4 linked regions of the Elephas maximus indicus genome follow. The protein of the gene in region 3 purifies or fractionates together with the protein of the main gene of each other region. This does not show direct contact. Links are inferred from orthologs where the notes say so. Each region holds a gene or a part of one and is shown on either strand. Other genes may lie near its edges. The genes, in order: interferon-induced transmembrane protein 3-like, ATL3, RTN4 and NADH-cytochrome b5 reductase 3.

Region 1 (6,143 bases), on a different chromosome or scaffold from region 3:
TTGAAGTGCCTCTTGGTTACACCACAGGGCTCTGTGCTGGATGTGGAGCAGTGGAAATCTCAAAAAGGTGAATGCACATGCCCAACTCCAGGGAGCAGAGAGTCACCTCACTCTGCCTACTCCCTCTGCTGTGCACAAAACACTCAAGCCCTGGAAGCTCAGAGTCAGTGCTAGCGACCTCAGTGAGTTCTGTCATTGGTGAGGAGTCAGCTGGCAGAACTACTCACACACACACACAATAATGCATGCTTACTATGAGACATAATAAATTTCTCTAATAGTCAAAATAATACTTTACAAAGTTTTTAGAACAGATCTAGGTGATTCTTGGCTCATCGGTGGTAAAACAAACGAGTGTTTCTCAACCTTGGCACAACTGTCAAATTGGAGCAAGAGAATGCTTAGTTGTGGGGGGCTCTCTTGCATTGGGTAGGGGGTTGAGCAACAGCTCTACTCATAAGATGCAAGCAGCCTACCTAGTGTTGTTGTTCTTGTTGTCACTGAGTCTATTCCAACTCATGGTGACCTCATGTGTGCAGAGTAGAACTGTGCTCCATAGGGTTTTCAAGGCTGCAGCCTTCAGAAGTAGATCACAAGGCCTTTCTTCTGAGGCATCTTTGGGTGGCTTCCAACCTCCAATCTTTCAGCTAGGAGTCCCATGCATAGCCATTTATGCAACCCAGGGTGCACACTGCCAGGCTCACCCTCACCCAACAGAGCAGCAGGCCCCCATCCAGGACTGAATCACCAGCTGAGGGTTCAGATGTGTGGGAGCTGGGCTGAAGCGTGGGTGGGGAGGGGCAGAGAGGGGCCCTTGCACCCAGGTGGAAGTCCCAGGGGGTACCAGATGAGGCCTGGAGTGACATTCCAAGGTACCAAGAGTATCAAAGGCACCTGACTGAGACAGTTGGACAAGAAGCAGGGAAGTGTTTCTGCTGACATGTTACAGCTGTCAATGTCTGTTCATCTTGAAATTGGGGGGCCCAACTTAGAGATTGCCTCTGGGCACTAGTTACCCTTGCTACACCCTGAACCTCATCACCAAGTCGTGGCAATGAAAAATATTTCCAAACCCTTTGCCATCAAGTCAATTCTGCTGCATGGGACCCTACAGGATGGAGTAGAACTGCCCCCATAGGGTTTCCAAAGAGCAGCTGGTGGATTCAAACTGTCAGCCTTTTGGTTAGCAGCCAAGCTCTTAACCACGGCACCACCAGGGCTCCAAAACGTATCTCCAGTTATTGCCAAATGTCTCCTTTGTACAGGATCATTTCCAGCTTAGACCCATGACCTTAGATCACTTTGTCTCTGAGCTCATAAATACTGAAAATGATACGGACTAATAATATATCAAAGTATGTAGACCATGCCTGGCATAAGGCAAGTTATCAATAAATATTTATTGTTATTACAAAGGAAGTCTACTTAAGAGAAGTCCCTGGATGGTACCTGCACAGGATCAGATGCAAGTATACATGGGACCTTCCTGATGCTGGTGGTGGAATAAAGATATTGTGGTTATAGTGGCCATCTAAGATGCATCAGTTGGTCCCAACCCACTTGGAGCAAAGGAGAGTGAAGAACACCAAAGACACAAGGAAAATATTAGCCCAAGAGACAAAAGGGCCACATAAACCAGAGACTCCATCAGCCTGAGACCAGAAGAACTAGATGGTGCCCAGCTACCAGCAATGACTATCCTGACAGGGAACACAACAGAGTCCCTGACAGAGCAGGAGAAACGTGTAGAGCAGAACTCAAATTCACATAAAAGGACCAGACTTAATGGTCTGACTGAGACTGGAGGCACCCCCGAAGTCATGGCCCCCAGACGCTCTGTTAACTCAGAACTAAAATCATTCCCAAAACTCAGTCTTCAGACAAGATTAGACTGTACTATAAAACATAAAATAATGCTCACAAAGAGTGTGCGTCTTAGTTAAAGCAGATACATGAGACAAAATGGGTAGCTCATGTCCGGAGGAAGAATGAGAAGGCAGGAAGGGACAGGAAACCTGAGGTGGAAAGGGGAAGTGTGCTGTCACGTTATAGGGATTGCAACCAGTGTCACATAACAATACCTGTGTAAATTTTTATATGAGAAGTTAACGTGAGCTGTAAACTTTCACCTAAAGCACAATTAAAAAAAATAAATAAAGACATTGTGGTTATGTAGGTCGGTTTTTTTTTTTTTTTTTAGGTCAAATCTTTGTGATTATGAGAATTAAGCATAGATACTACAGAGTTCTTATAAGGTGGACCAGAATCTAAGACCTGGGACAGAAGAGTGAAAACCCATGAATCCTGAAGAGGGGAAGGACGATGCACGGAGTAATTAAAACTACAGTGTGCGACCATATCCCTAAATGCTGGATCCAGGTAGAAAAGACAACCTGTGCTCCACGGGGATACTCGTGGAAATTCAGGAAAAGGGAAACCACAGCAGCCCAGAGAGCCTCCCAACTCGCTATCCTCTGTTGTCAGTTCTTAAGCCCATGAGGAGTACTTTAGGGATGAAGATAGTGTTGACCCCAATATCACCCAGCATGTTTTCTCCTTTTTCAAAATGGGCAGCTGAGAGCTTAACATAACCAAGGCCATGATAAACCTATAAGTTGTTCTAACTCTGCCTGCCTCCTCACATACCTCTGTTAATGACTTTGTTTCCACCAAATGTTAATGACTTTGTTCTGTGTTTTAAACTGATGCAAATAACCTTTTGTTCTATCTAGACTACCTGTGGCATACAACCCCCACAGGAAAGTTGGAGCCCAGGTATCCGATATGTATGTCTTCAGCCTAGTAAAGAAATGTCTGACAGGGGACAACGAAGACACCTGTAACCCTTGTAAGATTCTCTATAAGCTCTAATGTAAAACTGCTCTTTGGGACTCCATAGAGACAGCCTGTGTTGCTGCTGGGTCCCTGGTGATGTATTCATCTCACTCTTTCTGGCTTGAAGTATGTTTCATTGGCTTGACTGCTCCAGGGCATGGACCCTAATCGGGTAACAATAGTAAAGATAGTAGAGGACAGAATTGACTCATCTTGGAAATGGGAAAATTGAGCTTCAGAAACTTGCCTGAGTTTCTCCAGGTTCTTTCTAGTTCTTCATGAGTGAGGTCAGATAACCTGTAATTTATACAAAGACCCTCACCAAAATGGGAAGCAGAAATGGGAAACAAACAGGCTGAACATGGGAGAGGAGGACTCAATTCCAGAAAATTAAAAGGTCTCTTCAAACTACCTAAGGTCCTCCATCCACTGATGAATGTGCACTTGGTTGCTCCTCTTCCCACCTACCACCCTGCCCCATCCACCTCCAAACCAAGACACATGTTGGCAAGAAGGACCTTTCCTGATTTTAGAAGGAGGCTCCTTCCTCAGTGTACATCAACAAGGCTAACACAGGCTCCATTCATTGTTGTTGTCAATATTAGTTACCATCAAGTTGATTCTGAATCAACTTGTATCAGGGTAGGATTGTGCTCCACAGGGTTTTCAAGGCTGTTTTTTTTTAATCTTTACAGGAGCAGATCACCAGGCCTTTCTTCCAAGGCACCTCTGGGTGATTTTCAATTGCCAACCTTTCAGCTAGTAGTAGAGCGCGTAAACATTTGGGTCACCCAAGAACTTCTTTGTAATAATAATAAACATTTATTGATAACTTGCCCTGTGCAATGCATGGTCCTGTTGTTGTTAGGTGCTGTTGAGTCAATTCTGACCCACAGAGACCCTACGTACAACAGAATGAAACACTGCCTGGTCCTGCTCCAGCCTCACAATAGTTGTTATGCTTGAGCCCACGGTTGCCGCCACTATGTCAATTCTTGTCCTTATGGGTCTTCCTTTTTTTCCCCTTACCAAGCATGATGTCCTTTTCCAGGGACTGGCCCCTCTTGATAACATGCCCAAAGTGTGTGAGAGGAAGTCTGACCATTCTTGCTTCCAAGGCACATTTTGGCTGTACTTTAAATGTATTGCTTCATTTTAACACTCACAGAAACCCTTCCAGGACAGCGCCCTAACTCTCCCTCCCCCTCCCCTCCTCTCAGGCTTGAAGTAATTCGAGCCTCTGAAATATGTCCCGCCTCCTTGGCCCATGGCCACCCCAATTCTTCAGCCTGGAAATAGAAACTTCTGAGAAATCGAAACTACTGAGAGAAGTGAGGCCAGGAAGCTAAACCTCTCACGCAAGACCCTCATCTACTGCTGGACGTCTCAGGAAACCATGAACCACACTTCTCAACACTTCTTCACTCGCGCAGGTACCAGCCTCTCTCCAGCCTACGAGATGCTCAAAGAGGAACATGAGGTGGAAATGTTGGGGGCTCCCCACTGCTCAGTGCCCCCTGGCCCCGTGGCGCCCGTGACATCCACCGTGATCAACATCCGCAGTGATACCTCGGTGCCGGATCATATCGTCTGGTCCCTCTTCAACACGATCTGTATAAACTGCTTCTGCCTAGGGTTTGTGGCCTTCGCCTACTCCGTGAAGGTGCGTGTGTGTGTGCCAGACACCAGGGGATTCTCCAGGAGGGTGCACTTGGGCGCTAGGGGTGCCCTCTGCCCACTTGGTTCTGGGGCTACCAAGGGTGTTTGTGTGTGTTCTTGTGTGTGCCTTTGTGGATGTGTGTGTGTCCATGTGTATGCATGTGCACGTGTGTGTGTCCGTGTTTACACATGTGCACATGTGTGTGCCGGGCACCTGGGCGATTCTTCACCAGGGCGGAGTGAGCACTTGGAGTGCGCTCCCCCCAGATGGGCCTGGCGGGGAGAAAGGACCTGTGTGTGTCCCTGCGTTAATATTTTTGTGTGTGTCTCTCTTGCGCGTGTATTTTATGTGTGCTTCCTTGTGAGTGTCTGTGTCTTGGGAGGGGGGTCTTTCACAGCGTAGATCAGCAATGACACCCCAGAGGGTGCTTGAGGATGTCCTTATCAGTCCATGTTCCCACAACTTCCCCAAAAAATGTTTGTCAGAGTTAACAGAGAAGTTCATCCCTCCCTCACCCTTGGGTTAGGGCTCCAGGCTGGGGCTGGGGTGGGGGGAAGGAAGGAAGGGTGGCACTGGGGCACAGCAGAGGGAAGACAAGCCCAAGGCTCCCTGAAAGGACTGGGGGATTGTGAGGAGGTCTCTGCCCCAGCAGGCAGGGAAAGAAACTGTCCTGCTAGGGCTCCATGGAATGGGCAGGGGGGGGGGGCTCTCAGATGTGGGTGAGGGCCAGTGCAGGCTGAACTGGGGACAGAGCTTCAGGTGCCCTCATTGTTTCCTCTCCTTCAGTCTAGGGACCGGAAGATGGTGGGCGACATGATAGGGGCCCAGAGCTACGCCTCCACAGCCAAGTGCCTGAACATTTGTGCCCTGCTCTTCAGTGTCCTGGTGACCATCGGGTTCATTGCTCTCGTGGCCAGTGGAGCCATGATAAGCCTCGATGCAATCTCAAAGCTCAGGCAGGCACAGGGGGGCCACTGACCGCTGCCCATTGCTGCTGCCTGAGCCCCCCAAGGCTCCACAGCTGGTCCTGCTTTCCCGCCTGTTGACACCCCACCCCAACTCTTGTCTAAAGCAGTTTGCACTCGATGATCTGTCTATAAACGAATTCAGTAAAGTTCCTCTGTGCGTAACGGGGAAACCCTGGTGTCATGGTGGTTAAGTGCTACAGCTGCTAACCTAAAGGTCAGCGGTTCGAATCTACCAGGCGTTCCTTAGAAACTATGGGGCAGTTCTACTCTGTCCTATAGGGTCACTATGAGTCAGAATCGACTCGACAGCAACGGGTTTGGTTTTGGTTTTTGGTGTGCAATGGTGCTGTGATATCGCCCGGGGAGAGGGTCCTGCTCTCAGTCACCAGTCTGCTCCTCAGCTGAGGGTCATCTCACCTTGTCCCACTACCAGGCAGAGCAGAGAGCAGGACACACCCTCAGGCCTGGCTGGTTCTGGCCTCAGGTGGGGCCACAGCTGGGCTGGAGTGGGGGCCCCTCTGACCCTGAGGTCTGAGCCCTGACGCAGGGCGGCTTCTTACAGGGGGATCGGTACTAGGAGGCACCCTCAGCCTCACACAGGGTGCAGAGGACCCTACTCAGGCACTCTGGGATGCCTAGGTCCAGCGGTCAGCCCTCTGGGGTGCACCTGGACCCTAGCT
Region 2 (7,817 bases), on a different chromosome or scaffold from region 3:
TGTGTATAACACTATCATGGGCACGTTGGAGGGATCTACAAATATAATATGTTGCTGTGTCTTCAACGAGCTTCAAGCTTCTTGGGGCTTAGAATATACTCACATAAAGCTAAATAATACAAATTAAATAAAACCAAAAACAACCCCAAGCAATAAAAAACCATAGTGCTATGAAATTGGGCCGCAAATAAGTAGTATGAATTTGAAATAGGGGAGGGATTACCATGGAGTTATAGCGGCTCGAGAAGGTTTTATGAAGACGTTCAACCTTAAAATATGGACAGGAGTCTGGAGTGGTAAGGAGGCCATTAGAGGCAGGAGAGGATGGTGTGAAGCAAATGCAGGGATTGCTTTTGTGCAAGTATACAAAATGGCACCCCTCTGGGCAGATGAATTAGGAAAAAAAAAAATCATCTTAGCCATGCAGTTCCATGCTGGCTTGTCTAGCAGAACATGGCCTAGATTTCATCTTCTCTTGCCCCTCCCCTCCTGGGGCTGCCTCAGTGCAGTACACACACTGCTGTGCTGGCCAAAAGCTCAGAAGTGTGACTGTGTATAGGGTGTTTGGGGCATGGTTAGAGCAAGTTGGCTGGAGCCGAGGTCTTGAATTGGGACAAGAGGGAGATAAAACGCGGAAGAAAAGTTGGAACCAGACTGTGGAGAAGCGTTGATATTACACTAAGGAATCGAGAATTTGAAAGTTTTGGGGCAGGAAGGGCTCAGATGGAATTTTTTTTTTTTTAATTTATTTTGTTGTTGTTATTGAGACTATACACAGCAAAACATATGCCAATTCCACCATTTCTACATGTACGATTCAGTGTCATTGATTACATTCTTCAGGTTCCACAACCATTCTTACCCTCCTTTTCTGAGTTGTTCCTCCCACATTTAGCCCACTGCCCCCTAAGGCTCCAATCTAATTTTTTAGTTGTTGTTGTCACTTTGATCCCATATAGATAGTTCTTAAAAGAGCTTAAAAACTTAAGGAAGACATTCTTTACTAATTAAGCTAACCTATTTTTTTATTGTTTGGTTTTAAGAAGACTTCAGAGGATATTTTTGATTTAAGTTTTATACACTGGGCAGTAGTTTCAGGGATTTATCCAGCCTCAATGGCTCCAGGAAGTCTGGAGTCCATGAGAATTTGAAATTCTGTTCTGCATTTCCCCCCTTTTGATCAGGATTCTTCTATAGAGTCAGATGGGATTTTTAGAGTGTTCACTGGAGCATAACCACTTCTCTGGCCCCTACGTTGTTGTCGTTAGGTGCTGTTGAGTTGATTTCGACTGATACTGACTTCATATGGCAGAGCAGAACTGCCCCTTGGGTTTCCTAGGCTATAATCTTTATGGGACCAGGTCACCAGGTCTTTCTCCCCTGCAACTACTGGTTTGAACCACCGACCTTTTGAGTAGCAACGAAGTGCTTAACTGTTCTGCCGAGAGGGCTCCTTTTGCCCCTTTTAGGACTGGCATTTACACAATTATTTCCCACCTCAGCTTCTAGGCCATCTTGTGACTCCACTTTACATATGAACAACGTAAAGGCACAGATGTTTAACTGATGCCCAGGGATGTCAGTATTTAAGCCTGTCCCTTCCTAGTGCCCAGACTGTTGCTTAAATACCATTATTGCAAGTAGATGATAGGGGAGAAGGCTGAAAAATGTCACGGCAAGTGATCATCACGGCAGGTGATAACTATTTACTTGGCTGTTTACCCCAGCAGACTGTGAGTTCCTGAAGGACAGGAATGTGTCTTACGCATTGTTGCAGCATTAATGCCTAGCATGGTGCTTGGCTTGTTGTTGCAGCATTAATGCCTAGCATGGTGCTTGGCTTGTTGTTGCAGCATTAACGCCTAGCGCAGTACTTGGCACCTAAATAAGGCGTTTTTGGAAAGCTTTGGAATCTGAGTCATAGTGAATGCTTATTGCAAAAACAATTTTGTTTTTACGCTTCCTAAAATACTTGAGTATCTTTGTTATGACTTGGTTTTGCTTTTCCAGAATGAATATAATGTGTTCCAATTTTTGAGCACTAAGTACCAGTCATTATTACCAAATGCATCTCATTTAACCTACAGCTCTGTGATGTGGGTATTTGAAGTATTTTGCAGATGAGGAAACAGACTCAGAGAGGACAAATAACTCACCCAGGGTTGCACAGCTGGTGAGCATTAGAGCTGGAATTCAAAGCCAGGTCAGCCTGACTCTAAAGTGTGTGGCCCTTACCGCTCCCGACATGTCTTCATGTCGCTTACTTCTGAACCACGAAGAAGGCTCAACTCAAAGTGAAATGGCTGAAGGCAGAAAGGCTGTAACCAGTATTATCAATATTTAGCATTCTGAACATTCCCTGTTTTGATGACCCTGGATATTTGAGGACATAAAAGCAACAACAACAAACACATTTCTCACTTACGGGGGTTGCTTTCCAAGCTATGGCTAAACCTAAAATCCACTATAATTTGTACCATGTTGTTCTAATGCGGAACAGCTTCTACAAGGTACGGGGAAGGCTGATGTGGTACTAACATTGACCTTGATAATGTTGTCATATTGAGATACATCTCTGTATTTGCTGGTCAGAATGAATTTCAGTGGGTCTTTATTGGGATCCCTTAAAATAGAACAAGGCATTTTGTTCAAAAGTAAAAGTTAGGTACTTAATATTAACTTAGGTACTTAATAATAAAGTGAGTGACCACCACCTGTCTGTCAGTTTGTTATACCGTAGTGGCTTGTGTGTTTCTCATGATGCTGTAAGCTCTGTCACCACCACCAGTGTTTTGGTGAAGTAGAGGGCTATCGATGGCAAGGGAGACCCTTGGCTAGATTGATTGGCACGATAGCCACAATGATGAATTCCAACATGCTGGTGATTGTAAGGATGATGCAGGACAGGACAACATTTATTTCTGTTGTACATAAAGACACCATGAGTTGGAGTCAATTCAATGGCAGCTAATGACAAAGTGTGCCTCCTTTATTCATTCATTCAACGGATGTTTGAGTCTCTACTATCTGCCTGGCAATGCTTGAGGTGCCGGAGATGCAGCAGTAAACAAAACAGACTAAAATTCCTATCCTTAGCAAAAACTTGCATTCTAATGGGAAGAGACAAACAGAACAATAAGTAAAACTTAAGTCAGATGGTAAGAAGTCTCATGCAGAAAGTAAAGCAGGGAAAGTGAACAGGGAATCCTGAAGTGTGAGAATCTTCAAAACGTAAGAATTTTGAATTCCTACATCGCAGGTTTCAATTGTGATGAGTCATGGGCCTTTGACCCCTCCTTTCTCTTTCTGAGCATGCCACATAATGCCCTGGGTGTGTCACATTCTGTAGGTCCTGCCTCCTGCACACTGGTGTGAATTCCCAGTAACCACTTGCCTTGATGTTTTCTCCTTTCTTGCTGGCTTTAGTTGGTCTAAATCTAATCTTGACTCTTAAATCTGAAGTCTGGAGGAGGGGTGTTCAATTATCTGGAGATTTTTGGGGAGTATCAGAAGGGTTAGGGAAACAAATCAAAGAGACTTCCTTAGGTAGGATTAGGTAGAATTATCTTTGCCTCTTCACCTTTGACCTAATCACTTGGGAAGCAAAAAATGACGTTAAAGGCTCCGCAGGGCCTAAAGGTAGGGAAAAGTAGGTCCTAGATAGATTATAACAGTGAAGGCAGAGGCAAAAGAAAGAGAAATAATTTGTCAAATAAATGTGACAACGGTGAAGCCAAGAGGTGGTGGTGGTGGGGAATCAGATGCTTTAGCTTCCCAGAAGCCTCACCAGTTATTTATTCCCAATCCACTCTCACCCAACAAATCCAAAAAACAATATTCCTCAATTGTGGCAACTGATATTTTCTCATTTTCGGAGAACCTTGCGTTGCATGTCGCCGTGAGTTGGAATCGACTCAACGACAACCATACAGTTTAAGCAAAAGTGTGCTTGCAAAAAAAAAAAAAAAAAAGCTTTAAATCAAGTCCCTGTAAACCTGAGGTTTACAAAAGAACGTTTGAGGTTCAGGCTGCACAAAGCGGTGGGAGGGGTCTTCCCAGAGCTTTTAGAGGGGTGATGTGCACCATCGGGCTTGGCTAGAGGCAGGAATATGGAGTGATGACGATGGCGGTAATGAAGTCACCGCCTCCCTCCTTGTGAAGTCAAAAGCATTAAAAATCCAGTGAGGTTCGCGTCACCCAGGGCCAAAGCCTCCTCCGGTCCTTAGAGCAGGGACCCACCCACCTGCGGCCCCGGCCTGCGTTAACCACCGAAACCTTCTCAGACGCGGCCGACAGGAGCACGAAACCGACGATCCCAAAGCTCCCGCCCGGGGCCTGGTTACCACCCTACGGCCCGGCTCGCTGGCGGGCCGGGGCGAGCCCTCTCCGGGCGGCTCTCGCACAGCCTGCTGGGAATGGTAGATCTGTCATCGGAAAGCGGTGCCAGGCCTCGCCCCTCTCCTCGACTCCCTACCCGCCCCGGATGAGTGAGCAAAATGGGTACCGCCAACTGGGAGTCAGGCAATGAGGGACTACAACACCCAACGGACCGTGGCCGGCAGCGCCCAGCCCAAGGTAGCCTGCCGCGCTCCTGCGCAGGCGCACACGCCCTGAGCGAGTCGGCAGCGTGCGCTTTCCCGCCGGGACCCGCCCTGCGCGGGCAGTGCCTCAGGGCTCGGTCAGGCTTCGCAGACCCGCCCCGCGCTCGCTCTCGGACGGCTTCGCGCGCCCCTCCTCCTCCCCAGTTTCTTCTAGAGCCCAGGCCCCGCCCGCCTCCCGCCCTCAGGGCCTGGCTGGTTCCCGCCCCAGGCCGTCCCTCTCCTTTGCGCCCCAGCTGCTTCTGCTGAGGGCGGAGGCTCCATGTTGTCCCCTCAGCGAGCGGTAGCGGCTGCCTCGGGAGGAGCAGGTGAGGCGCCCACTTTCCCCCGGCCCCTCTCCATGGCCACCCCGCCGCCTCCCCGCCATAGTTCCCAGGACGCCGCCCGCGCCGCCCCGTCCAGGGGCTGGGACGGCGCGGCCGAGCCCCTCTGCCCGCAAATTCGGGGCCGGGGTTTCCTGGCGGCGCTTGGCCCTGCGGGCGCGGGCAGCGCCTTCCTCAGCCTCCGGCTGGGAGTGGCCGCCCGCGGGCCTCGGCCCCTGCGCCCCGGGGAGGCCGCCAGCGCTCCATTGGGCCGCCGCTCCCCGTTTGTGCCCGTCGCGCCCGCCAGGGGCGGCACCGGGGGCCGGGGGCTTCCTGGGGCTGTGTCCGCGGCTTCCGCACCGTTGGACCCCGCCCTGGGCACAGCCGGGAAACTCGGGCCAAATGGCTTCGGCTGTTTAACCCGCTGGGCTGGAGCGGGAAGGAGAGCGCTTTGTTGTTCAGCTTTTAGTGAAGTGCTGGAGGGCTGCGAAACGTCTTTTATCTTAACGACCTTGAGGCACTGACACCAAGGAGTGTTAGAAAAGTTGGTTTTCAGCCCGCTTATCTCCATAAAGCAGATGAGAAAACGTGGCCCCACTTGGTTTTGGTACTTTTTTCAGTACGTTTAGTACGGGACGTTGCTCTTTTGGTTCCCGAAGCCATACAACGTAGGAAAAGTGTTACCTGAATACAAACCAGATAGGGAGTGACCAAAAATTCACCGATACGACTTCGTCTGTCGCTTTACCTGGCTTTTTGTTTAACGTAGGCACTGTTGGAATTGCCAGGAATTTCACTTGTGGAATCTAAAGGCAGAAAGGAAAAGTGTTTGAAGAATCTTTTAATAAGTAAATCCGAATTCTCAAATTTGAATACAAAGTTGAGTGGAATACTTTGTGAAAGGCAGAAAAACCATCGGACCACACTTGAGTTTACTTTTGAGGAAGCATATTTAAGAAAGAAAAGCAATATAGTTCTTCTAATCTATGGCAAGTATTCAGGATTGCAAGATACGTAGTGAAATCAGGGGCAGATTACTCAATAATCAATATAAACACGGGTTTACTTGTGCTTACTTACTAATTGGTCACTACAGATTAGTAAGTGAGCACAAGTGAGCCCATGGTTACCTTGATTATTGGGTAATCCGCCCCTGATTGAAATTCAAATTAGTGCTATTTTTTTTTCCCCGGTCCCCACAGAAACTAGCTTGTAGTCTAGAAATTCCTGTTGCTACTCTAACACCTGTAAAGGAAAACACTTAGTGAAAAAGGTCTGTACGTAATAAAGGATTATGCTGGGACAGCATATTGTTTTATTAGCTACTGTTTAGTGTCATTGTACTTATCATAAAATTAAGAAAAATAACAATAAAGGATAAATGTAATGTGTACTGACATAGTTTTCTTAGTTTTCACTAAATTGGCTTATTTAGAATAGACTTATAAAAAATAGGTTTTCTCTGGAGTCATTCAAAAGAGCCCTGATAGCACAGTGGTTAAGTGATTGGCTGTTCATCAAAGGTCACGGGTTTGAACCCACCGGCCACTCCAGGGGAAAAAGATGTGGCATTTGGCTCAGTGAAGATTTACAGCCTTGAAAATCCTATGAGGCAGTTCTACTCTGTCCTATAGAGTTGCTATGAGTTGGAATTGACTCGACAGCAGTGGGTTTGGGTTTATGGTGCCATACATGGGATTTTTGGGTAGCAAGCATAGACTAAAGACTGCTCACACTAATTGTTTAAAATGAAATAATATTGTGTGAAGCAAGAAATAGAATCCTCTCCATCTTCCCAGTTCCACAAAACGTAGCCATTATTAACAGTTTGGCCACATTCTACTAAGATCTTCCGTGAAGTAGTGTTAATGGATTGAATTCCAAAACCCATTGCTGTCCAGTCGATTCCGACTCATAGCGACCCTATAGGACAGAGTAGAACTGTCCCGTATGGTTTCCAAGGAGCGCCTGGTGGATCAAACCACTGTCCTTTGTTTAGCAGCCTTAGCTCTTAACCACTATGCTACCAGGGTTTCCATGGATTGAACTATGCCCTCCCAAAATACGTGTTGTAAATCCTAACTTCTATGCCTGTGGTTATAATCTCATTTGGGAATGGATTGTTTTTGTTATGTTAATAAGACAGGGTTAATGTAGGGTGTATATTGAGTCAGTCTTTTTTGAGATACAAAACCCATTCATTGCCTTGTAGTCAATTCATAGTGGCACTATAGGACAGGGTAGAACTAACCAATAGAATTTCCAAGGCTGTAATCTTTATGGAAGCAGACTGCCACATCTTTGTCCACAGGAGCAGCTGATGGATTCAAACCACCAGCCTTTAGGTTAGCAGCCGAGCACTTAACCAGTGTGCCACCAGGGCTACTTTTTTGGGATATGAAAGAGATTAAACAGGCGAGTAGAAGCAGAGATGGGGAAAGAGATGTCAAGCCATAGGAGGATCGCCGAGGAGCAGAAGCTCAAAAAGAGACGAGGACCTTCCTCCGTAGCTGACAGAAAGAAAGCCTTCCCTGAGAGCTCACGCCCTGATTTCTGACTTCTAGCCTCCTAAGTGATTAAGAGCTATGGCTGCTAACCAAAAGGTCAGCAGTTCAAATCCACCAGGTGCTCCTTGCGTATCCTGTGGGGCAGTTCCCTTGTCTCCTATAGGGTCCTTATGAGTCGGAATTGACTTGATGGCAACGGCAAACTGTGCGAAAATAAATTTGTTTGTTAAAGCACCCACTTGTGATATTTCTGTTGTAGCAGCACCAGATAACTAAGATTATCTAGTTATTTTGTTTTGGGTTAGATAACTAAGATAAATACCTTAGGAACTCTAGGTTGTGTGAACTTACTTGAGAACTAGTTTAGAATTTACCTGTAAATGACAGGCATGCCTTTTAAACTTCTCTAT
Region 3 (6,921 bases):
CAATAAAATTAAATTTCAGGAGCATATTTCTAAAATAAACAGTATTTGCTTAAAAAGACCAAATTATTACCATGGCCTGTTAGACAACAAAAAGCACCTGCGTGCCAGTCACCTCTCCACCCTCCTTTTACACCACTCTCCCCCTGGTTTTACTCACTAGCCTTCTTACAGATTCTCAAGCATCCAAGAGCCTTTGCCCCAGGAGCTGCTTGGAACATTTCACACATCCTAATTAAACATTCTCCATGGCGTCACCCAGTTTATTTTCCTCATAGCACTTACCACCATTTCAAGTTTCTTATCCATGTTTATTCTCTGTACCCTGCCCCCAGGCAGGCACACGTCTTGCTTCTTGCTAGGTCCTCGGAGCCCAGAACAGTGCCTATCTCGTCAGGCAATCAATAATTTGCTGATCCAATGAAAAACGGTGTTAGGAAGACTAGACTCATTGATATGGCTATCTATGACTGTAACCACCATGTTCCTGCATCTAAGAAAGGCAGTATTCTCTCATCTCCTAAGTTTAGGGTTCCAACAGTCAAGATTCTAAGAGAATGAACGCAGTTACCTCCTGGACCACCACTGGTCAAAGAACAGAACTCTCCTCTCAGTTCCTATTCGGGGATCCAAGATAACAAGGCAGTATGCTTTCGTCAATGATTACATTTCCTTTCTGCAAATTTCTCGCTGCTTTATATTTTTATCCATCACCTTATTTTCCCTCAAGTGTTTCTTTTTGATACAGAAAAAAGGAAAGACTGAATTACTTCTCATCTTCTAAGACCTTCTGAGCAGTGCTGTGGGGCAGCCAATATTGAAACGTTATTTCAGAAGCATTGTCGCACTTGGCTTACTTTCCCTGAAAGGATAGGAGTGAACTGGAAGAAAAAAAAATCTATTGTGTGATCTCAAACTGATTTTCTTTTTCTAGAAAATGGACCACTCACTTCTAAAATTCTACAAGGCTATGAAGATTTCTCAGCAAGCATTTATACTACCTGATTCTTGACCTTTTACCTAAAGAAAGGTTACACAGCTGGTAGGGCATTTTGTGTCCCAAAAGAACAACCTACTGAGCCATGCACCTAACAAGTCCCCCAGTCTCTAACAAGCTTGATTTTTTTTCTCTTCCTAAATAGCTTCCCAAGATGAAAAGAGTAATAAAACAATGTTCTGAAAAATAATAACAATATACAATCAGCCACGCATACGAGTTAAGATTTAAAAACTCTTGGAGACCATACAGGTTTATCACTGGTGACCTAAAACTTCTCAGAAATAGTATATCTAACCAAAATATTTCATTAAGCCTCATGGGGAATCTGTCACAAGTCCAACTGGCCGGGTTCCAGCAAGGAATCTACAGATTTCCTCTTCTTTAAGGATGTCAACCATTTTGCTGTCTCCCCAACCCCCTTAAATTATGGTGCATCGAGGCCGAATCGGTCCACACTAACAATGCCCCCTCCCCCTGAGAGCCTGGCAGAACTGCGCCCCCTCGGACCACAATGCCCAGATGGCGTCTCGAAGGCTCAGTTCAGCTGGTGGGGAGTCGCCACCTCACAAGCCTGCTAAACTGGGCGGTGGCAGGCTTGGCCAGAACCCTCTCCTCCCCAACTGTCCCCGCACCACACCACTGGAGGCGCTCTCCCTACACTGCGGCTGGGTCAGTGTGGACGTTTTTTTCCATGAGGCCAGCTCCCCACTAGCGCAGAAGTGGGGTGTGGAGTCTGGAGCGCAGGGGGACTGCCTACACTAGCGAGGGGGTGGGAAGGGGGCCCTGGGCTGAATGACAACAGCCCCGCAGTGAAGCTGCACCCTTTCCCAGACGGGCAGACAAAAGCCTTTCCTAAAAGCTTAGGGCGCCAAGGGCTGCCCATCCCGACACCAAGCCAGCCCAGTGAGTCCACAACCCCAGTTCCTCCACCCACACCCACTACGGCGCGTGCCCCACTTCGGGGACGCAGTGGAATGGGGACCAGAGGGAAGGAAGGGGAGAAGGGAGGGTCGGGAGCGGGTGGGGTGCACGTGCTCCCCGAAACCCAGCCAGACAATGAAGCCGGGCTTCCCCGGCGCCCCACCCGTCTCCCCCGTCCGCAGACAAAGCCCCCCGGGGTCCGGAGGGCGGGCCGGCGCGCGTCGGGAGCTGCACACAAAGGGGCGAGGGCGCGGCACTCACCCGCGGAGCCCGAGGAGCCCTTGCGCTTGGGCGCGGCCGGCGTGGAGGGGGGCGCGGCGGGGGCCGGGGTCCACGCGGGCTCAGCCTGGGGGCTCATGCCGGCCGGGGGAGGAGGGGGCGGCCGGGCCGGGGGCTCGTCGTCCTCGGGGAGCGCGGAGGGCGAGGTTGCGGCCGCGGGCAGGCTCTGCGCGGGCACCGTGGCCGCCGCGGGACTGGGGTCCCAGGGCGCCGGGCGCTCGGGGGCGGCGGAGGGCGCGGCCGGCAGAGGGCCCCGGGGCGCCGGGGGCACCAGGTCATCCCCCAAGTCCAGCAGGGGCGCGGGGGCGGCGGGCGCCGGGGCGGAGGGCGCCGGGGCGGGCGCCGGGGCGGGCACCGGCGCGGCGGGCACCGGGGCGGCCGCCAGCCCGGCGGCGGGCTTCCTCTCCAGCACCTCCAGCTCCTCCAGGTCCTCGTCCTCGTCCTCCTCGTCCTCCTCCTCCTCCTCGTCCTCCTCGTCCTCCGGCTCCCGCACGAACTGGTACTTGAACTGGGGCTGCGGCCGGGGCGGGGTGTCCGCCGACGAGGACACCAGCGGCGACTGGTCCAGGTCTTCCATGGCGGCCGGGCTGCAGACGGTGCTGCCGCTTCTCCGCCGCCGCGCGCCGGCGCTGGTGGGGGCGGGGAGCACGGAGCGGGCCGGGCCCACCGAGCCGAGGGAGCTGCAGGGCCGACGACTCCCGGAACAATGAGCCTGCGCCTCCTGCCTCCGCGCGCTGATGCGCCAGCCGCCCGGTCCCCAGCTGCCGCCGCCGCCGCCCAGGCGACCAAGGAGAGGCCAGCCGACGCCCCGCCCCTTTTGGCGTGACTCACCCTCCCCCCGGGCGGGGCAGCGACTGGCGCGGGAGGGAGAGGGCCAATCGGCGCCGAGATGGGCGAGATGGACAACCAGCCGGCCCAACGGGAAGGGAAAGAGATGACGGCGGGCGGGGCTTGGCGCACTTCCTCTCTCTGACCGGCTGGGCATGAGTTCCGTGGGCGGGGTTTGGACCTGGGAGCCCCACCCCCACCCTGGGTGGATGGGCGACTGGGTGGGGTCTCGGCCTTGCCCGGTAGCTGGAGGTCGGTTTGTCGTTCAAGTCCAGCGACCCGGAGCCGACTGCGGACCGGAAGGGGTCGGAGGGCTTTCTGGCGCACCACCGGAAGGGCGTTATCCTGTTGGGCGGGGGGCGCGGTGTGGAAACTTTCCTCCCCGGAGAGGGAAAAACCCATAGTGTGGAAGGAGGCCTTCGTGATTTAAATACACATTCAATTGATAAAGAATTTGAAATAAAAGATGACTTTTTTCCAAACTTAACATTCCCAACCCACCTCATCACCCCCCAAGAAGTTTGTTTTGACAGTTAGGGTCGCTCCCCGCCTGAACTGCAGCCCTGGAATGACGCAGGCAAATAGGGCCGAGCAGAGGATCGGGGCGTTTGGGGTGGAGGGCCTCGCGGTCCGCTCATCTCCCTCCGGGAGGGTTTTGGGCACCGTGGCTGGACGTTCACATGGTGGATGGATGAGTCACCGAAGAGAGACGGGGAAGAGGGGGAAGTGGAAACAAAGAACGCCTCGGAAGGCAAATGGGGTTCGCGTTACCTCCCCAGTCACCTTGGGCTCGTCCGTCGACATCTCGGATGACTCAGGCTTTCTGGGAGTCAGGAAGCCCGATACACACTACTTGGATACGCCAGAATGAGTCTGCTCTTTATTCCTCTTTTCCCCAAACTGGAACGTTTAGAGAACGTGGTTGCAGACCATAAAAGAATCAGCATCCGGAGGTTTATGGATTCTTTTACCTTTCTCTGCAATGCCTTCTCCGCGAGGCCCTGGAGAGACGAGGATAACGTGCTCTCAAGTTGCTCGCTCTAGACCTGCGCTGGCCAGTGCTGTAGCCCCGGGTCACTTGTGGCTCAGAGCACTCGAAATGTGCTGTGTCAACATAAATGCACACCAGATTTCAAAGACTACTCTCCCCCCCAAAAAAGTATATAAAATATCTTTTTTTAATTTTGGTTGAAATTGATAATACTTTGGATATGTTGGGATAAGTAAAATATACCATTAATCTCACTTGTTTCATTTTACTTTTTTAATGTGACTATTAAAAAAAAACCGTTGCCATCAAGTCGATCCTGACTCAGCAACGGAAAGAACGGAGTAGAACTTGCCCAAAGGGTTTCTGAGAAGCGCCTGGTGGATTCAAACTGCCAGCCCTTTGGTTAGCAGCTGTAGCTCTTAACCACTACACGGCCAGGGTTTCCAATGTGACTACAGAAACTTGTAAATGCATATATAGCTCAGAATATATCTCTATTGGACAGTGGTAGTCTAGATTAATGATCGAGATATTTTAACTGCTGCTGAGAATCGCAGGTTATTTAAGCAAATTGTTAGCTCTAACTAATTAGTATTACCCTAAACCCACTGCCGTCAAGTCAATTCCGACTCATAGTGACCCTATAGGACAAAGCAGAACTGCCCCATAGAGTTTTCAAGGAGCACCTGGCAGATTCGAACTGCCGACCTTTTGGTTAGCAGCCCTATTACCCTAAAAAAAAAAAAGGAATCTAAAAAAAAAACGTAGAACAAGATTTCCTGGCAATGTTACCTGATCCAGTGAACTATCAACAATACATTTAAGGCCTAGCACTAATTCCACAAAGATAAACTGGCTTTATTACTCTCGAAATGGTTGTGAGTTGTTTGGGGTTTGTTTAGGTTGGGGTTTTTGAAAAGAGTAGGAAGAGAAAAGCATTGAAGTAGAATTTGGGGGTGATAGTGGTTAACACAGGAAAACCTGGTTGCTTAGTGGTTAAGTGCTACAGCTGCTAACCAAGAGGTCGGCAGTTCAAATCCACCAGGCGCTCCTTGGAAACTCTATGGAGCAGTTCTACTCTGTCCTATAGGGCCGCTATGAATCGGAATTGACTCGACAGCAATGGGGTTTTTAGTGGTTAACAAATGTTCTGTCTTCAACTTAAAACTTCTCTCTTCAAACCTTCTACTGGCTTATTTTGCTGATAAGGTAATGCCAGGTTAAAACTGATTCCTACAATGATGACTGAAATAGTCACGTTTTGAGTATTTGTCAAAAATTACCTAAAATATACATGATTTTCAACTAATTGTATACATATACAAAAATATACTAGCAAAATGTTTATGGTACAAACTTTTTCTATGAAGTCACAGTTCGGCTGTTTCTCCTACTATGGTTGTTTTGAAACAGCTGAATGGGAAGTTACACAGGGTTCTCCTGTATCATCTGTAAGTTACTTATGTGATATTTCTGTATTCCTGTGTCTCTGTACCTGCTACTACTAAAATAGTCTCAAAGGAATATTCTTAATCTATTGAAAGTTTTATAAAAGAATGAGTATAGTCCATGTTACGGAAAAGTAGTAGAGCTGCAACGTTAATAGTAAACAGCGATGAATTCTGATGCACTCTCCTCTGATGCAGAAGAAAAATAAGAATTTTATATTATTGATCTCAGCAGCTTCTAAAAATTAATATTTGATGCGTGAATAAGAGTAAGGCATTTACCCAGCGTCTGTAGGATGGTCAACAAAGCACAAAGAAAGGAGAACGTTGCTGCTATACCAGAATTATAAGCTAGTTACGCCTTAGTGTAATTAGATGCAAAGGCTGCTCTCGCTAACAAAATTCTGGTGGACGTTTGGAACGCTTAAGGAAAAAATGCAAATTCTAAATCATAAGAGTTTGAGAATAATTATTTAGTGAAATATCTTTGAAATGATCTTACCAGAAGTAAAGGATTAAAGTTCCCAGATATCTACTTCTTAGGAACTGTTGTCTCTCAGAACACTACCTGAGATCCGTTCAGAGACTCCTAGAATCTCAGAGCCAGAAGGGTTCTGAGAGGTCAGCTTGACCTACCTCCCTCCATGACAAGAACTCCCTAGGAAGGTTTATAAAGTTGGTCTTCTGTGGTAGATTAAAAATGGCCACAAACTCTTCGCAGCAAGTCCCATCAAGAGTTGAAGTCTATCGCCTCACCTCGCCTAAGGTGGGCTTGTGACTTACTTGATCAATAGAATATTCTAGAAGTGAGTTCCAAGCCTAACCACCAGGGGCGCTACAGCTTCCTCTTTCCCCCTCTTGGAATGCTGAGGCCCTGTGAAAAAACCTAGACTATTTATCCCTGTTGCTATGATACTGAACAGGTTTTAGCAGAGCTTCCAGCCTAAGATGAACTAGGAAGAAAGGCCTAGAGATCTACTTCTGAAAATCAGCCAGTGAAAACCTTATGAATCACATCAGGGTGAACGACAATCAATCACAGGGATGATGCAGGACTGGGCAGCATTTCATTCCCTTGTGCATGGGGTCGCCATGAGTCAGAGCTGACCGGAAGGCAGCTAATGGTATTCATTATGGAAGATGGAAATCACATGGTCAGAGCGACCTAGCCATCTGAGCCACTCAACTCATGTCCCAGAAATGAGAGTGAGGCCATCTCAGATGTCCAGCCAACCCACAGAATCATAAAAAATGATGAATCATTGTTATTTTCAACCTCTTGAGGTGGTTCATTACACAGCAAAAGCTAATTGAAACATCATCCAATTTTGCTTTATTCATTCACACAAGAAATATTTGTTGGGTATTTACTATGTACCAGGCACTGTTCTGGAGCCCTGGTGGTGCAGTGGTTAAGAGCTCAGACTGCAAACCAAAGGGTGGGCAGTTCGAATCCA
Region 4 (7,583 bases), on a different chromosome or scaffold from region 3:
CTGGCCCCCAGGAACCTTCACTGCCTGGTGGCAGGGACCACACTCCAGGACTGCAGACCAAGCCCCAAAGGTCTCCACCAGGTAGCTGGATGACTGAAGTGCCAACCCCTCTGCAGGGCCCCCCTGAGTCTGGGAGGTGGCCCCCTCCTAGCCTGCACGTCCCAGATAAGACATCCGCCCACCAGGCACCCAGCGGCCTCCTGTAGACCGCGTGGAGCCCCGGGACAGGAGGTCTGGCTGGGGCCTGCTATGGGTGTTTTAAGCAGAAAAGAAGACCCTCTTGGGCCAAGGGGGATCCCAACAGGGTCCAAAAGGAGCCTAGGGGGCAGCCTGTGCCCACCCCTTGGATAGAGGGGCGGGAGTTGGCACAGGTCTCCTGGCTCCCAAACAAGGTGCTGGCAGGCAAGGGAGCTGCTTGTTTGTTCAACAAAAATGTATGGAGCGCTTACTGTGTGCCAGGTGGAAGGGACGCATGGACAAATCCAGCCAGCACCTGATGGAAGGTGAGAAGCACCCCAGGAAAAGAGCACAGAGGGGAGTCAGGGCGGGCCTCAGAGCCCAGGGGGTGTCTGAACAATGAAGGCAGAAGGGGTGACCCATGGGGATTTCTGGGGTGTACTGTCAGCTGTTACCAAGGCTGAGGCAATGCCCACAGGTTCGCCCTGGGCAAGGCTGCCTCTTGACCTGAATGTGCCCCAGAGTCCTGGGCTGGGCCACACTTTCACCAGCAAAGGCCCAGGCCACAAAGAGGAGCCTCATAGAGCCAGAGGGAGGAGGCAATAGTCCCTCCAAGTCCCAGGCGCCTGGGGTGGAGGCAGAGGCAGATCTGGGCCTAATCCTCCAAGGTGCCAGCCCCTCCCACACGCAGGCCAAGGCACCGCAGGGCCTATTCACTTCACTTCAAGTAGCTTGGACAATAGTGTCTACGCGTGAGAGTGTTTGTCCTCTGTAGTTACCGTCTCTACACAAGCCCGGGGCCTCTTCACCACTCCTGCTTTTAAAAAACTGTAGGGAGGAGGTAGCCTGGGGGTGGAGCGAAGGAGGCCTGCCAGAAGTGACAGCGGTGAGGGTGGACTTTGGAGCCCCACAGAGTGTGGCTCCCTCATGTAGCACTGTGGGACTTTGGCCAAGCCCGAGTCTCATTTCTTCATCTGTAAAGTGGGGCTAACAGCGCTGGCCTTGCAGGCTGGTTACATTAACAACGTCATTGGGTTAACAGGAGAGCCAGAGCCTAACTTAGAACTGCTGAGGATTACCACTGTTGACGTTGTTGTTGCTAAGGGACTGCACAAACCTTCTGATCCAGCAACATCACACACTCATACCCTCACACGCACAATCACACTCTCATATGCTATCACACTCACACACATGTACACCCACACTCACACGCATTCATTCAAACATGAATTTGTACTCACTCTCACATGCACATTCACACTCACACCTATTTACATCTCACAGACGATGCCACACTCACATTCACTCACACTCACACACTCCTGCTAACACGTACCACACAATTCACTACTGCACACCTTCACATACATACACCCTCATTCACACTCACGCACACACACAATACACACTCATTCTCACACACAAACTCACTCTCACGTATTCATACTCACACACACACTCACCCTCTTACACTCACACACATATGCACTCATGTTCACATTCATACACACCTCTCTTCACTCATATGAACACTCACATAGCCGCACGATTCACACACACTATACACTCACATAAACTCACTCTCACACACAGATACACTCACTCTCTTGTACTCACACATTCACACAAACTCACATTCACACACAGCCACATATAAACTCACACTCACATGCATACACTCTCACATATATCTAATCACATATTCAGTCTCACACCATGTACACTCACAATACACACTCACTGTCCTCCTGTCAGGGGCCCTGGTGGAGCACGGGTTAAGCACTCGGCTGCAAACCGAAAGGTTGGTAGTTCAAACTCAGCAGCCACTCCGGGGGAGAAAGGCGTGGCGGTCTCCTTCTGCAAAGACTGTTGTTGTGAGGTGCCATCCAGTCGGTTCCGACTCATAGCAACCCTGTGTACCACAGAACCAAACACCGCCTGGTTCTGCACCATCCTCACAATCGTTGTCATGCTTGAGCCCACTGCCGCAGCCACTGTGTCAATCCCTCTCGATGAGGGTCCTTCTAGTGTCCGTGGACCCGCTGCTTTGCCAAGCGTGACGTTCTTCCCTGTGAAGATTCCAGTACTGGAAACCCTATGGGGCAGTTCTACTCTGTCCCATAGAATCGCTATGAGTCAGAATCCACTGGACAGCAGTGGGTTTGGGTTTTTTGGGTTTAGTGGGTGTGAAAGGAGCCCTGCTGGCGCAGTGGTTAAAGCACTCGGCTGCGCACCAAAAGGTCTGCGGTTGGCAACTCCCAGGGCTCTGCGGGAGAAAGGGTAGCAGTCTGCTGCTGCGAAGGTTCACAGCCTTGGGAGCCCCTGCTGTAGGGTCGCTGGGAGTGGCATCAACTGAAAGGCGAGGGGTTTGGTTTGGGGTTTGGTCTTCATCCTCCTGCACTCTGCCACATTCAGCCACACCATATAGGCTCACACACAAACCCCCTCGCACACTGACACAGACGTGCGGTCACACTCACGCCTCGGCCCGTGGCGGGGAGGGAGACGGCGGTCGCGCGGTCCCGCCCCCGGTGCCGGCCCCCCGCCGCCTTCGGCCGAGCAGGGCAGCCGCCCGGGCGTGAGTCACGGTCCCCGCGGCCCTGGGCGCGGCCCGGCGGGCGGGCGGGCAGACGGGCGGGGGTCCCGAGCCCCGGGCCCGCAGGCCGCCCGGCCCGTCCCCGCCCGGTGGCCCGCCTCTCGCGGCCGTGTCGCAGGGGCGCCGCCCGAGCCGAGGGCCTGGCGCCGGCCGCCCCAGCCCCCCTACCGTGCTCAGCCGGGCCCCCATGGTGGCCGCGCCGCTTCGCTCCGCCGCTCTGGCCGCCCCGCCGCCGCCGCCGCCGCCGCCGCCCTGGCTCCGCCCGCCGCCCGGCGCGTCAGGCCGCGGAGGGCGGGACCGAGGGCGTGGAGGGAGCCGGGGCGGCGGGGCGGTGGGTCCCCGCCGCTAGCGCCCGGCCTCTGCGGGCGGGTATCACCGCACTGCGGGGCCCGCGGCGGTGGCCGGCGCGCCTGGACTGGGTGCCAGCGCGCGGCAGCGTGCGCCTGGGCTGTGTGGCCTTGCGGCGACGCCGGCCTTCTCTGGGCCTCGTCTGCCCCCATAAAAGGCAGAAGATGGCGCCCCCTCAGAGGGAGCTGAAGGGAAACCCGGAAGCTCCACCGCGGCCTGACCCCAGACTGCGCCACCGAGCCGCTGCCTCACGTTGTCCTGAAGCTGCTCAGCTTGGTCCTACCTCACGGCCTTGGCCCATGCCGTTCCCTCTCTCTGGAAAACTAGCCCCAGCCGTCTCAGAGTCTGCTCTTGCTTAGTGTTGAGGTCTCAGGTCAAACCTGTCCCCGGCAAGGCCTGCCCTGACCCCCCTCTCCAAACGCCCCCTCTTCTCTCCCCACCCCACTGCCCGAGGTGTTCTTTCAGGATGGTCTGCTCCCAGCTCAACCCCATCCCAGTGGACCGTTCGGGGAGGGCAGCACCTTGTCTGTTTTGAAGCCCCCTGTATGCCCTGACCCTCACAGAATGCTTGGCACGTAGTAGGCACTCAATAAATACTTGTTGAATGAGTGAATTCCAGAGACAGCGGGCAACTCTTCTGTGTAGACCACCTTCTCTGTGTAGGCCATGCTGGGCCCAGGGTCACTCTCAGGCCTTGCCCCCTGGAAGGGTCTTGGAGCTTCTGGTACTGGGCTCTGTGTTCCTGCAGTGTGATGTGGGCACAGCAGATAAGGGGAAAAAGGCCATCTGGCAGAGGGAACCGGGCAGAGGGAACCGCATGGACCTAGAAGTGGAAATTAGCTGCATAGACAGGGCCAGCAAGGCTAGAAGGGCTGACGTGGCCAGAGCTAGGGGCATGGAGGTGTAACGTGGGATCAGGGTGAAGTACACCAGGAACATGGGTGGAAGGAACTGGGAATTTGGGGAGAGGAGGCGGATCTGGAGGTGCAAGAGGTTAATGTGCTCAGCTGCTAACTAAGGTTGGAGTCCACCCAGAAGGGCCTCAGAAGAAAGGCCTGGTGATCTATTTCCAAAAAATCAGCCCTTGAAACCCCTATGGAGCCCAGTCCGCTCTGTTGGAATTGACTCAATGGCAGCAGGTTTTTGGGGGGAGTCCTGGAGGACTTAGGCAGGTGGGGGAGTGGCCTGTTGGCTTTAAAAAAGGGGCCTCTGGGGCAGCATGGAGGGAGGGACCTACTATGGTAGAATACAAGGATAAATCTGACATCTTCTCAGGTCACTTACGAATTATTTCGGCTTTAATGATTACAATTTTAATGTTACGAAGGAAATAATCAAATCGGAAAGCCTGACCTAGAAGGTACAACCAGTAACTTCTCCGTTGCTAAGGTCTTCGTAGACCACTCACCCATTTGCGATTCTCGACACTTTCCATGGGGGAAACGGAGGCAGAAAATCACTCTAAGCCTCCTCGTTTCCTCCCATACCTTATTTTCTTCGCTTTCTTTATTGCTCCTGGGTCCAAGATGATGATCATGGGTGTGAATTGTCATCTGGGCCTTTCTTCTCCTTGTGAAATTTGGAGGTGACTAAGTTAGCTTCGGAAACCCCAGTGGTTACTCGTTAAAGAGCTAGGCTGCTAACCAAGAGGTCTGTAGTTCAGGCTTCCTGGACACCCTATGGGGCAGTTCTACTCTGTCCTATAGGGTCGGTGTGAGTCGGAATCGACGCGACGGCAGTGGGATTTAAGTTAGCTTTCCTCTTTTAATGCATTCTTATGAGCTGTGAAGAATTCCCACACAGGACTTTTCCTCGAAAAACGCATAGCTTCAATGGCATTAAATAAATAAAACTTAAATATCATATATAAAGTTTATTTAGGTTATGGGTACTGATGCTAGCTAGCTCCACAAACAATCCTACAAAGTTCGAATTTGAGTGGAATTCATCTCTCATTCTGCCTTGTATCATTTAAATTATTTTATACATTTGTAGACTCAAGAAGGAAATCATTTCCTTCCTAAAGTTATCATGCTATTACAGCCTCTTTTAAGATCATATTAACTGTCCGCCTGTTTCCCTATTTATCTGTTGGAACATTCTTCATAATTGTTTCTGTACATAAAATTAATGTCATTCACAACAGAAAATATTGAAGCATTTTGCTCTTACTATAATAAATCCTGTCTGCATTACACCTCAACCCACTGACACAATTTCAATGTATAAAACACAGAAGGAGGCTTCACCCCTGGTTACATCTGGAAGCTTCCCTAGAAGGTGACCCCCATGCCAGGCCTGGCCACACACTGGTGTTGGCTTTTGACTGGCTATGTGACGGCAAAGGAGGTCCCTAGTATCTTTTGGTTTGGAGACAGGATGAAATCAAGATGCCCCACCGTTGGTGAGGCTGGCCTGGCTAAGGGGGTACCTACCAGATCTCCCTATTGTCAAGTATCTTTGACTCTGAAACTGTGAATGTCGTGATCCCTAGCAAACTTTCATCCAATGGTTGCAGCACCTATTAATGGTCTTTGCCTGAAACAGCGACTATCTAGGTAGTTTAACTGGTTTGTAAGCTGCTTAGAGTGGTGGAAAGCGAGGGGAGACCCTCGTCCTAATCCCTCAAGGTCCTGCTATGAGCCAAAGAACAGACGCTTCCCACAAGTCCATTTGCCTTCTACTTTGTTGGTTGAGAGTCCCTGACCTGCTCAGGTGTTTGATCCCTGGGAGAGGCTGAGAGGTGGGTGGACAGAGAAGCCGTTAGTTCTATTGTATAGAAGAAACTGAGGCTCAGAGAAGGGATTCAGCAGCCATGGGCTGGAGAGGAGGCTGGAGAGGAGGTTGGGAGAGAGGGCTTTCAGGCCAACTGCAGGGCAGAGTTTCTGTACTCAGGTTGAGGCTATCCCACCCCTGGCAGCACCCCCCCCCCCCCGCCCCGCCCCAGGCCACCTGTGTAGGGCCTAGGGTTGCCAGATTTAGCAAATCAAAATACAGGACACTCAGTTAAATTTGAATGTCAGCTAAATGATGAATGTAATTTTTTAGCATAAGTATATCCCAAATATTGCACGGAATATACTTACGTAAAACTTCATGATGTCTGGGGGTGTTTGGACAGAACTAGAGGATGGTCAGTTCAATCTGAATCTCAAACATCGAATACTTCTTTCACGCAGAAATGGTAAATGAAAACAAGTGTGGCAGATGTTATCAGATGAGGCTTCATGTCACCGAGTAGAGGAAGCGGGTCAAGTCAGTGGGGCCTTGAATGCCAGGATGAGCTGCTCTCCAGGGGGTAGCTGACAGCCCTGGGAGAAGGGCTTAAACTAGGCAGGCAGTTTTAGAAAACTCCCTCTGGCTATGGGGTTGAGGGAACCTGCTAGACCTCAGGGCTTTGGGTGGGATGGGAATGACTTCTACCTCCTGGGGGTGCACCCAGAACCAGCCAGCCCACCCTTCCCCACTGCAGCCCGCACCCCAGCTGGGCCTCCAAGCAGCCAGTGCAATGATTTGTCAGGAGTTAACGTATTAATGAAGGAACCCTGGTAGTGCAGTGGTTAAGTGATCGACTGCTAACCAAAAGATCAGCGGTTCAAACCCAGCTGCTGCTCTGAGGGAGAAAAATGTCTGCTTCCGTAAAGATCACAGCCTTGGAAATCCTCTGGGGCAGCTCGACTCTGTCCTATGGGTCACTATGATTTGGAATCAACTCCACCACAATGGGTTTGGTTTTGGGAATGTATTAATCCCCTCAGACATTTTCATTTTGAAGAGGGAGCATGTTGCGGGGGAAAAAGATGAAGAAGGGGCTGGGATCACTTGCCCGAGCCGGGGACTGAACCATTAATCACAGAGTCATAGGCGCCTGCTCAGTCAGAGCAGCGCTTTGGCAGGCAAAGTGCTACAGTGACACCAAGGCGGCCCTGAATCTCCCTGGAAGCAGAGCGGAGTTTGACGAAACAGGAGTTGGTACCTCGTGTGTACTCCGTGGTAACCGCATTGGGACTTGTAGGCAGGTTTTAGAAGCACAGTCCCAGCCAGGACAGTGCATAACCTAGGGAGCAAGTTGAATCTGACCAGGGCCCCTGGGGAAGGCTTTCCAGTTGTGGCAAGTCCTCCCTTACCCCAGACATCTCCTTTCCAGCTTACCGAGGATGGCCCCGGCTCAGAGAGGGAAGAGCCTTGTTCAAGGTCACACAGCTGGCAAGGGTCAGAGCCAGAGTTTGAATCAAGGTCTGTTTGCTTCTGAAACTCAGCTCTGGCCACAACAGCTCACCCCTGGAATCTAGCATCCGGAATGGTCTGCAGGTTTTCCTCTTCCTTGCTGGCCTGGGCTGCAAGGCAGGGATTGATGGAAGTGGATGTGGGGTGGGGGACATTCCCCCGCAAATCCTGCCCCGCCCCCCGCGGCCAGAGATTTTCATGGCACATGAGAGAGCACTGGGCTGGGAGCAGG

Evidence for each region.
Region 1: the proteins of RTN4 (region 3) and interferon-induced transmembrane protein 3-like purify together in Homo sapiens (affinity purification with mass spectrometry; 3 studies listed by BioGRID and IntAct, with this or other methods). This does not show direct contact. The link is inferred for Elephas maximus indicus from reciprocal best matches to the Homo sapiens genes RTN4 and IFITM3.
Region 2: the proteins of RTN4 (region 3) and ATL3 purify together in Homo sapiens (affinity purification with mass spectrometry; 4 studies listed by BioGRID and IntAct, counting the BioPlex papers as one, with this or other methods). This does not show direct contact. The link is inferred for Elephas maximus indicus from reciprocal best matches to the Homo sapiens genes RTN4 and ATL3.
Region 4: the proteins of RTN4 (region 3) and NADH-cytochrome b5 reductase 3 purify together in Homo sapiens (affinity purification with mass spectrometry; 3 studies listed by BioGRID and IntAct, counting the BioPlex papers as one, with this or other methods). This does not show direct contact. The link is inferred for Elephas maximus indicus from reciprocal best matches to the Homo sapiens genes RTN4 and CYB5R3.

The regions. Positions count from the first base shown.
Region 1 is NC_064846.1:178,013,032-178,019,174, forward strand, and holds interferon-induced transmembrane protein 3-like, read left to right. Parts: upstream 1-4,142; 5' UTR 4,143-4,231; coding exon 4,232-4,498; intron 4,499-5,281; coding exon 5,282-5,473; 3' UTR 5,474-5,633; downstream 5,634-6,143.
Region 2 is NC_064825.1:126,874,405-126,882,221, reverse strand, and holds the start of ATL3 (atlastin-3), read left to right. Parts: upstream 1-4,794; 5' UTR 4,795-4,860; coding exon 4,861-4,906; intron 4,907-7,817. UniProt on the Homo sapiens protein: Atlastin-3 (ATL3) is a membrane-anchored GTPase that mediates the GTP-dependent fusion of endoplasmic reticulum (ER) membranes, maintaining the continuous ER network. It facilitates the formation of three-way junctions where ER tubules intersect.
Region 3 is NC_064844.1:7,148,039-7,154,959, reverse strand, and holds the start of RTN4 (reticulon-4), read right to left. Parts: upstream 3,003-6,921; 5' UTR 2,775-3,002; coding exon 2,180-2,774; intron 1-2,179. UniProt on the Homo sapiens protein: Required to induce the formation and stabilization of endoplasmic reticulum (ER) tubules. They regulate membrane morphogenesis in the ER by promoting tubular ER production.
Region 4 is NC_064822.1:186,887,399-186,894,981, forward strand, and holds the start of NADH-cytochrome b5 reductase 3, read right to left. Parts: upstream 3,022-7,583; 5' UTR 2,966-3,021; coding exon 2,945-2,965; intron 1-2,944. UniProt on the Homo sapiens protein: Catalyzes the reduction of two molecules of cytochrome b5 using NADH as the electron donor.